3 linked regions of the Ovis aries genome follow. The protein of the gene in region 1 purifies or fractionates together with the protein of each later gene. This does not show direct contact. Links are inferred from orthologs where the notes say so. Each region holds a gene or a part of one and is shown on either strand. Other genes may lie near its edges.

The links.
Region 2: the proteins of TNRC6C (region 1) and protein argonaute-1 purify together in Homo sapiens (affinity purification with mass spectrometry; 5 studies listed by BioGRID and IntAct, with this or other methods). This does not show direct contact. The link is inferred for Ovis aries from reciprocal best matches to the Homo sapiens genes TNRC6C and AGO1.
Region 3: the proteins of TNRC6C (region 1) and AGO2 purify together in Homo sapiens (co-immunoprecipitation; 6 studies listed by BioGRID and IntAct, with this or other methods). This does not show direct contact. The link is inferred for Ovis aries from reciprocal best matches to the Homo sapiens genes TNRC6C and AGO2.

What each region holds. Positions count from the first base shown.
Region 1 is NC_056064.1:53,388,771-53,392,413, reverse strand, and holds part of TNRC6C (trinucleotide repeat-containing gene 6C protein), read left to right. Parts: intron 1-3,364; coding exon 3,365-3,481; intron 3,482-3,643. UniProt on the Homo sapiens protein: Plays a role in RNA-mediated gene silencing by micro-RNAs (miRNAs). Required for miRNA-dependent translational repression of complementary mRNAs by argonaute family proteins.
Region 2 is NC_056054.1:10,821,607-10,825,349, reverse strand, and holds the start of protein argonaute-1, read right to left. Parts: upstream 2,221-3,743; 5' UTR 2,011-2,220; coding exon 1,986-2,010; intron 1-1,985.
Region 3 is NC_056062.1:15,983,499-15,987,241, forward strand, and holds the start of AGO2 (protein argonaute-2), read left to right. Parts: upstream 1-1,580; 5' UTR 1,581-1,706; coding exon 1,707-1,728; intron 1,729-3,743.

The sequences.
Region 1 (3,643 bases):
CGGGTGTGGGAAGCGAGGCAGGGGAGTGTCAGACACACTGATGGGAACTCTCTTGCTATCAGACGCAGCATAAGGAGAAGTCGACCAGTGCTTATGGGAAAATGGAGATAACTTTGGGCTCCGTGTCCCTGCTGGATTTATTAATACACGGTGCTTATACATCTTGTGTTATAAAGTAACAGTGTTAGCCATCAAGCTTCGTAAGGAAGAGGTTTCCACTTGAAATCTCTTTGAACTGGAAGTGAATTGGCCATTTACTCATCCATCTCAGCCAATTTTTCCTTTCCTCAAAATGTTTGGTAAAAAGACTGAATTCATTCCCCAGGACCTTTTTCCTGGCACAAACTCCTGACGCTATAAAGCTTGGCACACCCTGTTTAGGCTTGAGGATCCAGTTGGCAGAAGTGATGAGCTGAGCTGTGAGGTTACAGAACATAAACGCGGGTTTAGTTGCAGAACTGAGGAGGGCACTAGCTTGCCTTCCCTCGAGGCCTACAGATGCAGGCCCTCTGTGAGTGCCAGGGCTGACGGACCTCTCTCCTCAGCGTTCTAGTAGCAGAAAGAACAGCCAGCTTACCCGCGATGCTCAGCACTAGCAAGGTCACTCGGGTATTTCCGAAACGTTAGTTTAGCTTTCCGGCTAACATGGCCTGTGGGGAGAGGCCTCCTTGTCGGTGGTTCTCTGAAGTGATAGGATTCCACGCATGCCTGTGGCTCAGGTCGGAGGGCAGCGTAGACCTCTTCCTTCAATGCAGGGCATTCCTGTGGCGAGGCAGCAGTGTCAAAAGCAGGGCGGTCGCAGGCCTCCCCGCGGCTGGGGACGGATGAGTGAGGCAAAGGGGCTCGAGGCTACGGGACCTGGAGCCTGTTTGAGGTAGTGGGGGTCGGGGGAGACTCGCCCCTCGGGACACTGCGTGTGGCTGCAGGGCTGTGCCAAGCGAAGGGGTGATTCGGTGTGTTTGGGCTTGTGGAGGGTGGGCAAGCATGGCCATCCAGGCGGTAGAAGACCTTAGAAAGAGTCAAGGCTGCTCAGCGCAGAGTGGCGCTTCCTGACCGGTGTCCAGTGTCAGCCCAAGGTCGCTGGCACCTGGGGCACGCAGGCCATCTCCGCCTTTGCACCTGTGTGCCGTGATCGGACACAGGCGTCCTGGAGGGCAGGGGAGTCCCGAGGGCAGAGCCGTGCTGTCGGGACAGACGTCAGGGCAGAGGGAAGCCAAGCCTCCGAGGCCCTGGCAGAAATGGGACGTCAGCAGGACAGAGCCTGTAGTGCCCTGTGTGACCCAAGGGCGAGTCCCAGTCAGCTCCACCGCAAGACCAAGCCTCGCCCAGGAAAGGGCCCCCACCTCCTGGTCTTATCTGAGAGGAGGGAGCAGAAGGAGCGGATCTCTATGTAGAACCCATTTACAGGAAGCCCCACAGCCTCAGGGCCAGGAGTAAATGGCCGTGGCCAGATCCCGCAGACCACCCCTCTCCGGGACCCCCTTGTGTTCCCCACACGCGGGGCTTCAGGCACCCCGGGGGCTGAGCTTGCTCCGGGCCCAGCCACAGAAGGCTGTTGTATTCTTGAGTGATTAGCTTAGTCTAAACTACAAAGGAAAAAGATTTGAGAAAATATGCCCTGGCAGGAAACGCCACTGACCTCCTGGATGTTGGCTTGTTCATTTTACATATTTTCTTAATGGAGTTTTCTGTTTTCTTTATTGAGTACCTTAGGTTTTGGGGTTTTATTTACAGTTTTGGGTTTTCTTTTCATTGGTGTTAAGCTCTGATTTGATGTTAAAAATTCACTTTAGCCATATATTTGTTTGAATATTATTTATAGTGCTAACCGTTATGAGGTGAATATTAGCCAGATGGTAAAATGCAGTTGTGCCATCGCCTGACAAATTGATACTAAAAAGGAAAATTAGCCATCATTTTATGGGATAGATTCCACTATTGCACTAAAAATGTCAAACTAGAACACGGTAAAAACCCAAGTGCTCTACTATTAACTATAAACGAAGTACCATGTTGGGTTAAATAGTCTATAATTTGGAATCTCAAGTTGATTGCATTTTGTTGGTAAATAAGAAACAGAGAGTTTAGGAACTAAGGTTAGATTGTCAGTAGAGCTGATGTCTTTTAAAATCAAAGACCTGCAGATTACAAATACATCCTCACGTTCATCAGCTCTGGTGCCCTGTTCTGAGGAGGTCAGTTACACCAGGGCTGCCGTGAACAGCCGTACAGGTTGTAGACTGCACAAGCCTGGGAGGTGCCACACGCCTGGCAGTCCCTGAGGTTGTTGAACACACCGTCCCAGGTGGGGCCCTGCATCGGGGGCCCCATGTCTTTTGAGATTCTGTTCATGGTGGTAAACTTGACTACCAGACTGCTCTGTGCCCTGTACCCTCTTCCAGCCAGCTTGCGCACACCACCCAAGTCCCTTCCCAAGTCTGAAGAGCTCTGGTCCATCCCACTAAAAGCTTAGCACACTGTTGCCCTGCGTCATCCTTCTCCTTCTTCTGCTTCCTGCTTTCCTCAGAGAACAGACCTGGTGACGCGGAAAATGCACCGGCAGGGGTGCTGGGGGGGCCCACCCGTCAGCCCGCCTCCCAGGATAGGAACAGGGTCCTCGGCAGCAGGAGGGGCGAGCCTGGAGGCCCAGTGGCGCATGTCGACGCAGTCAGCCCCCCTCCCAGGATAGGAACAGGGTCCTCGGCAGCAGGAGGGGCGAGCCTGGAGGCCCAGTGGCGCATGTCGACGCAGTCAGCCCCCCTCCCAGGATAGGAACAGGGTCCTCGGCAGCAGGAGGGGCGAGCCTGGAGGCCCAGTGGCGCACATCGACGCGGTCGCCAGTGCCTGTTTCTCCTGGATGTTTTGCATTCAAGAGAGAAATACGAACCTTGGCAAGGAGTCAGGGAAAGCACCGGTCTCTTTAAAGCAAAATCTGTAACAAAAAGCTTGGAGATTTATTTCATTTTATTCAGTTTTGTAAGTATTGTTGGAGGTATGAAAAGATGGAGGTCGCCCTGAGTTTTTATTTTTATCTTACCTGGAAGGGGAAATCCACGGGATCCTTCCAAACCCTGACGTGTTGTTGAAAACACTCTGTGGCCATTCTCTCCTCTCCAGCTTCCTGGTCTCCAGCACCCCGCACCCAGCCCCTCTCCAGGGCCTCTGGCAAGGCCCCGGGCGCCCCAAGGCGCAGTGCGCCTGTGTCTTCCTGTCCTCACTGTGGTCGCGCTTGTTTCCCACCACTTCCATAAACGCAGCCTGGGAGACTGCTTCTCGGGTGCTGGGGTTCCTCACGCCGGGGCTGAGTGGCTCCCCCCGCGGGCCCGTGCTCGCCTTTCTCAGAGTGCCGCCTTTGGTTCCGCAGGGTCCTCCCCACCGTCATCTCAGAATGCCGCGCTGCCTCCCTCGAGTGCCTGGCCGCTCGCTGCCTCCGGCCACAGTCGCGCTTTCAGCAGCCTCGCACCCGCTCCTGCTGTTGCAGGTACGCACCTGGCCTCTCGATGTGCTGGTCGCCTTCTCTCTCTCTCCCCAAATAAGACTGATGGCCTGGCTTTTCCTGGTGGTCTGTTTGCTCCCCTCCAAGCTGGGAGGCCACATGGAGTGATGGAGAGTGAGCCTGAGCTTTGCCGAGCAGCCACAGGGC
Region 2 (3,743 bases), on another chromosome or scaffold:
CTCTAGTTCCTTCCCTAGAAGCTTATTTATTGTAACAACAACCAAAAACAAAAAGTCAATTTTTTCATCACTCTCGAGACCACACGGAATTCATCAGAATAAAACCATAAGCAGTCTGGTATGGGTGCCAGCTCCCACCAATCCGTCTGGACTTCCGTGTCCTACTACTCTAGTCCCAGGGGTTGCTGCAAGTAGTCTCCAGCCCAGAAAACCAAGAGAGTTCATGGAAGGGAGAGAGGAGCCTAAGGGAAAAAGGAAGCATTAATAGTTTTCTGAAGTCAGTTGACCCCTGCATTCCACCTTAAGGCTTATACAGCCTTTACAAGGTTGTTTCCATCTTGGTGAAAGTAGTCGCTAAGTACTTAAAGATCACTGAATGAATGACTTGAATGAAGTGGCAGGAGTTATTTCCTTAAGAGTATAAGATCTGGTATAAAAGACAAAGATGCTTGCTTCAACCAGAAATGAAATCCATGTCCCAAATGAAATAAAATTCATGTCCCAAATAGAAATTCTATTCTCCCCTCCAGATCAAACGGAAGTAGTGAGACAGATCTAAAAGATTCCAGACTGCTCCTCCCACCAAAAAGATAAGACGCCTAGGACACAGGAGGTGCCACCACCCTCACCCCATCCAGGAACTCTGGCCTTCTCGGGACAGTCTTGCCTCAGTTTCCCCTCTAATCTCCTTTTCTCCTGATGGTGAATAAGAAGTTAAGGCTATCACCTGGGACACACTATGGTGAAGGCTATAAACTTCCCCCTATCCCATACAACTTATATATGACAAAAGGCTCGCCTGACAACGCTGGGTCTAATAACATGGCTCTGACAATTTCTGGGGGAGTAGAGAGAGCAAAAAGAAAAGATACCCAGTAGGGGAAAGCAACCATAAAAACATTAAGGCATAGAAAGATTAGGCTGTCAACTCAGGAAACATTCAATAGAGAGGTCATTATCCTTGGATTAAAAGATCCCAACTCTGCTCACCATTGAACCAGAAACATGCAAACCAGGCAAACAATCCCTTCTACGGAAACCAGGTCCTGGCCTTGGTCCCTCAGCAACCAATACATTCTCTAAGGCCTGTCTTCAAGGAGGACCTGTCCCTAACCTAAAACATTGCTCCCATCCGTCTTTCCTCATCCTAGTGGCGGAATAAGAAACTTGTCCATCTCCCTCAACCTAGTCTTGGCAAATTGAGACTGAAGGTTTCAGAGTCAAGCCTAAGACCCCCAAGATGGGGAAGGGACCCATTTCCATTTGTGTCCTGCCAGCATAACCTAAGAGAGACTACAAGCCATCAGCGCTCCCCTTTTACCAAGTCAACCTGGCGGGGCTAAGGGTAGGGGGGTTCGGGCGGCCACGCCCCCACCACATCGGGCAGCCCCTTCCAGCTGCCACCTACGCGCATGCTCCGGCGCCTCCACTCCAGCTCCCAGACTTAAGGGGGGGAATCCCAGGGCTGGATCCCCACCCACTGCCCCCTGACCCTCGCCCCCGCGTCAGGCCCGGCTGGGGCGGAGCTCACAGCCCAGCTCTGGCGCCTTCTCCCAAAAGACATCAACCCAGCCCAACCCATACCGGCTGAGCCCCCGCCCAGGGCATGCGGCAGCTCTGGGCCCATTTGTGTCGACCTCCCTCTCCTGGACACCTGGAGCCCGCCCCCTGCCACCTGCCGGGCCTCTCCCTAGGCCTCCTGGTACCTCCAGGAGTCCTCCTGTGCGTTCAGGCCCTTCTTCCAAAGCACTTCCTACCTCCACGAGTGCATACAGGCTCCTTTGATAAATGGCCCCCGTCTCAGAGCTTCCCTTCGCAAGGTTTCCCCCGGAACTGCACACAACCCCCTTCAAACTGGGCCCCCCATCTCAGAAGAGCCCCGTTCCCCACTCAGGAAACCCTTCCTCACTCCGAAACCCTGCTCTTCACGCGAGAGTCCCCTAGTCCTTGGAGCATGCACCGTCCCCGCTCCTGGGGGCCCTTACCTGCTCCCGAGGGTCCCGCTTCCATCCCATATACCCGTGCGGAGATCAGGCGGCCCGGAGACTGTGGAGTCCAGCGTGAGGGGCCTAGGTACCCCGCACGTTTGCTGCCTGGGCTCCCGGGCCGGGCTCGGCTGCCCCCCCAAGCCCGGCCGCTCGCGCCGCCGCCCCCGCAGCCTCCGTTGCCGCCGCCGCCGCGGAGCCTGCAGCAGCTCCCCCTGCGAGCGCCCGGCCAGCTGCCAGTGCGCAGGCGCGACCGCCAGGCCCAGGGGGCGGACGGGAACGAGTCAAACGGGGCGCTCCGACGGCAACAAAGGCCAATGGAGAGGGGCGGGGGCACCGGGGACCGGAGGCAGCGGCCCCTGGCGGTCACCCATCGCCATGCAGCCCGGCGGGAGGGCTCCGGTAAAGGCGCCGCGGAACCGCGCAGTGGCGTAAGTGGGGCGGGGCGGGAGGACAACACACCCCCAACCCCCACCCCGCAGCAGCCTCCGGCCTTGTCTTTTCCCCAAACACGTTCCTCCAAGCCTACACACAACCTCCCCCCATTCGCACAGGGCCACGCGCATATTGCCACCTCATTCCCAGGCCACCCTCACACACTCCGAGAGCCCCATCACCCAGGGGCCCTGCCTCCCACCTCTCCTCCCAATCACCCTCATCCTTCAAGCCTCGGCTGCAAAGCGACTGCCTCCGCGAAGCCTTTCTCCGTCCCTAGTCACTGAACTCACTGACGCCACCCTCTCTTCCAGGCCGAGTACTGGGCGCTGAGACCAGAGATATGAAAGAGACCCTGCCTACCCTGGAAGATGTCACCGTCTCAACTTAAGTGCATCTACTGAGCTCTACCTACGGGCTGGGAAGCACCTCTCCACTTTCTTACAGCCCACGCTTGAATTCAGTCAATCCACTTCTGACCTCACCACCTCACTTAAAACACTTTTTGTGTCAAAATTCAAAGGATAATTTTCAATTCTTATTTTGCTGCAGCATCTGACACTGTGCCTCTCCTTCCTTTTTGAGTCTTTTATTTGGCTTCAGCATTTTCTGAGGTCTCCTATTGCCTAAGTCCTTTTCGGTTTTCTTCAAGAGCCCCCCCTCTTGTTTTTGATCCATTAAAAAAAGTGTTCACCTTGTTTTCAAACCTAGCTGTCTTCTCATTCTAATCTCCACTTTTTTGCTTCAAGGTCTCATCCATTCTTATGGCTTAACTATCCTTCCAAATCTCTATTTCCAACCATGTCTCAGACTCATATTTCCAAGTGTCTGCTGGACAGCTCCACCTGGATCTACCAGCACTTCAAATTTTAAGAGTTCAAAACCAAACTCTTATCTTTGCTCCCACAAAAGTGCTTGCCCTATACCTCCTGTCTCTACAAAGGGCACCTTCATCCCAGAAATGACCGCTTCTCTCTCTCCCTTGCTTCTAACCCTATACAGCAGTTCACAAAGTCCTGACCTGTTTACCTGCTCATATGGTCTCCTGACATGCTTGTGAAGGCTCCCTGTGCTGATGCAGGCCCTTATCATATCTTGACAAAAGTATCACAGTCACCTCCTTGTTAGTCTCAGTTTCTAGGAACATTTCTCCTATTCACTCTGCATCAACTGATAGGTGCTGAGAGACCCAGCTCAAACATCACTTTTCCATATATTCATTCATATATATTAATCCATCTGTATTTTTGATGCCTACTTTACACCAGATGCTAGGAACTCAAGAGAAGCCATACCCAGTCGCTACCCACTAGAAAGATTAAT
Region 3 (3,743 bases), on another chromosome or scaffold:
GTTCATTTCCATCGCTAGATTCCACCAGCTGAGCAAACATCTTCTCATCACCTGTTCTAAGGCTGATGGCACGTCGGGATGGTACCCAGTCCCACCCTGGCGTACCTTCTTACCCAGGCCACCTGGGCTCCTAAACACACGTTCAGCTGAGTAGCTGCCTAGGGTCACCTGTGGATTTGTGTTTCCACAGCATGAGGGTCAGGTGGAGAGGTGGTCTGGGTGGCTATGAGGGTGGGGGTGGTGGGCAGAGGATTAGATGGGGAAGAATGGACATCTCTGAGGCTGATGCCATGGGACCCCCTCATTCATATCGATTACTCGGTGAAGATGGAAGCCTTCTGACATTTCTTTCTGGAGGGCAGGTGGATTCTCGTGCATTTATTTAAGAATGTCCTTGAGAACTGCAGAGAGAGAAACAAACCTATTGGACGCTTGCAGGCAGAACTCCCGTTCATCTTTGTACCATGCTAGGCCAGCGGAACACAGCCACAGGTACACGGTGTCAGATAATACTTGCTTACCCGAGGAAGAAAGGAGCAGGCAAATATGTTAAAAAGATGACAAGCAATTTTGGATTGTATTTCACCTTCCGGTTTCTAATCCCTCATCAAGCAGGGGAGAAAGGTGTTGACCTCTGGCTGGCCTCCCTGGAAATGACTCTGAAAAGCGAAAACTGGATGCAAGGGTTTGGCTGGAGGGAGAACGTTTCTGCACGAGGGGGGCGAACACAGGGATGTACGGCGGAGCACGAGGGGGTCCGTAAAGGAACAGGGGAGGCCCCGAGGGCTGGAATGAGGAGTTACAGTTTGATCTGATCACGGATAGCGGCTAAAATTGACCAAAACCTGAAGCTCTTTACAGGGATTCTCTAGGTAGGTTCTCCGCCGGGAGGTGGCGGTGTGGTAGTGTGCGAGGACCCGGGCGCGTTCAAGTTCAAGCTCCGGGTCCGGAGGAACCTTCGCGACATTCCTGTTTCCTCCTTTATCGCTTAAAAGAGCCCGGCTGCGATGCCGGGGCCCTGGGGCGCGGGCGGCACCGCGTCCACACGGGGCCCCAGGTCGCCCGGCGCGGTGGGGGCTCGGGATGGGGAAGGGTCCGCTCGCGCGCGCGGGGAGGCGAGGGCTATGTTTTCTTTTCTTTCTTCCCGGTCTCGGCGACGGGGGTGAGGGGGCAGCGCCGCGCCGCCTGCTCCGCCCAGTCGGAGGAGGCGTCGCGCTTCTGAGTGGCTACAGGGTCCCCCCGGCCCCGCGTGCGCCCCCGCTACGGGGCCTCGCGCCACCCTCGCCGGCGCCGGCCCCGTCCGCCGTGCCCGGCGCCCGCCTCGGCCGCCGCGCTGGTCTGCCCCGCCCCCGCCGCGCGGGCCCGCCCCGCCCTCGCCCCGCCCCTCGCCCCGCCCCCGCCGCGCGGGCCCCGCCCCTCCCGCGCCTCCCTTCCTCTCCCGCCCCGCCCCCGCCCGCTCCCTCGCCCCGCCCCGCCCCTCCCCCGCCTGCTCCCTTGCCCCTCCCCCTCCCCTCCCCTTCCCCCCCTCCCCCGCCCGCCCGCCGCCGCCGCCTCCGCCCGCCGCCCCGGCCGCGTCGGGTAAACCTGTTTGGCGGCCGCGCCGGGGCGGATCGTGCGGCCGGCGGCTCCCTCGCGGCTCGCGGCGTCGGGGCCCGTGGCGCGCGCGCGGCCGCCCCTCGGCCCCGGAGCCCCTCGGCGGCGCCACCATGTACTCCGGAGCCGGCCCCGGTGAGTCCGCGCGCTCCTCCCCGCGGCGGTTGGCGGGCCGGGCGCGAGCGCGGCGCGGGCGGGCGGGGGAGCGCGGCCGGGGGGTCGGGGGGCCTGGGGGGCGCGGGGGGCTGCCGGCCGTTCCCTCGGCCCCAGCGCGGACGCGCGGCCCCGGCCTCCTCCTCGGGCCCGAGTCGTCGGGGCGCCCCGCGCGGCCTGGGCCCTTCCCGCGCCCCGTCTCCGCCGCAGCCCGGCGGGCTGGGACCGGGCCGGAGCGCGGACTGGGCCGGGCGGCGCGCGTGTAGGCCCGAGGCCCGGGCGCCCGCCTGCCCGGCTTCCTGCGCCCGGCGCCTGGGCCCCTGCGCCGCGCGGGGCCGGCGGGGCCGAGGCCGGGGCCGCGCTCGAAGCGCCCGGGGGCGGAGAGGCCCCGGCCGGGGGCGCTGAACTCGGGGTGCGGGCGGCGCGGGGAGGAGCGCGGCCGCTGGGCGCAGACCGAGCCGCGGCGAGCCTGGAGCGCTCTCAGTTTCGTTTTTCTTTTTGCCAGCACTTCTGCGGCCCCTTCTCCGAAGGAAAGTCTGGAAATGCTGAATTTTGGCCAATTCTTGCTGGTAGTTAGGACCGCGGACAGAGAGGGATAGGAAGGCGCCCTAAAACCCTAACCTGCGCGCGTCTCATTTTCATTCCAGACACACAGGCTCCTTATTCAAGTGTTAATTGCCTTTTACAGTTAACTAGAGGAAGGTGAGGAGATGTGCTGATTTCCTTAGCATCTTTTCTCACTAGCCGGCCTCCCTTTCTTTAGAAAAGTTCTGAAAAACTTAGAGCAGTAACACATTTTTTAAAGAACTTTTTTGGGGGAAATGCAGAGTAGAAGGGCGATTAGCTTGCTGAGGCAAGAAAGTGGTCAAATGTTGGTAAGCTTTTTCCCTTCTCCCGCCAGGCACGTGGCTTCTAAATTTCCCGCTGGCCCTGCCACTTGGACAGGGCATATCCTGTCCCCTTTGTCCACCAGGCTCCAGCGGGCTGAAGGCCCTGCCGGCTGGGTCCTGCCCTTTGTGGGCCCTGGCCCTCCCAAGACTCCTGCTGCTGGGGCTTTGGCCGGACCTCTTCAGGCTCTTCTCATCCATTTGGATCCCTTAACACTTTCTATTCACTAACAGTCCTGTGCCTTGTGAATACTCACTGTCTTGTTTTCTGATGTCACTTAGTTAGAAAGCTTCTCCAAGGCTGAGCCAGAGCAACTTTTAAATTGCTGTCAGCAATTTGATAGAAGAATGGTTTTAACTGTAATGGTTTTAACTGGAAGGTGACTCAGCCCTGGTGGGGAAAGGCCCAGGGCTCCAGTCACAGTCACAGTCCTGGGGGCAGACAGACTTGGCTTCTTAGAACGGGTGGGCAGCACCCACCCATGATGTGGCAGGGTAGCCCCCACACCTGGGTGAGTGAGAATCTCCCCGTCCATCCCTCTGAAGGAACCCAGCAAGTCTTAGCCACTACACTGAACATTTTTTCAGATTTTCAATGTAAAAGTTGGAGGCCCAGAAAAAGTGAAGAACCTTGGGGAAGGTCAAGCTTTTGTGATGTGTCTGATGTTCACTGAGCCACTGGACAGCTTGCTAAGTTGCTGATGGTCATTTTGAAGATGGACTGCAGAGGCACAGAGAGGCTATGAGCCTTTCGAAGGTCAGCCAGCCAGCGAGCAGTAGGACAATGTGTGTGATTCCAAGCAGACTCTCCATACACTCCCTTTAGAGAAGTGGCTTTCGGTTCTTTTGACCTTGACCCCCAAGAAGAAACACCTGTTACATGTAGACTGGACCCAGTGCTCGGGTGTTAGAGTATAATTGAAACACGAGCTTCAGGAAGAACCGCTCGCCAGTGCTGTGTGCTGTGCACTGGGATATTTTCTTGTCTGTTTTATTTTCCAAAAAGGTTTAGTTCTCTGGATCTCCAGGCTCGTTCCGGGTTCTCCATGGCTCTTGGAAGAATCTTGCTGTGATGTGGGCCTGTGCATCGTGGCCTGGTGGGGAGGGGCC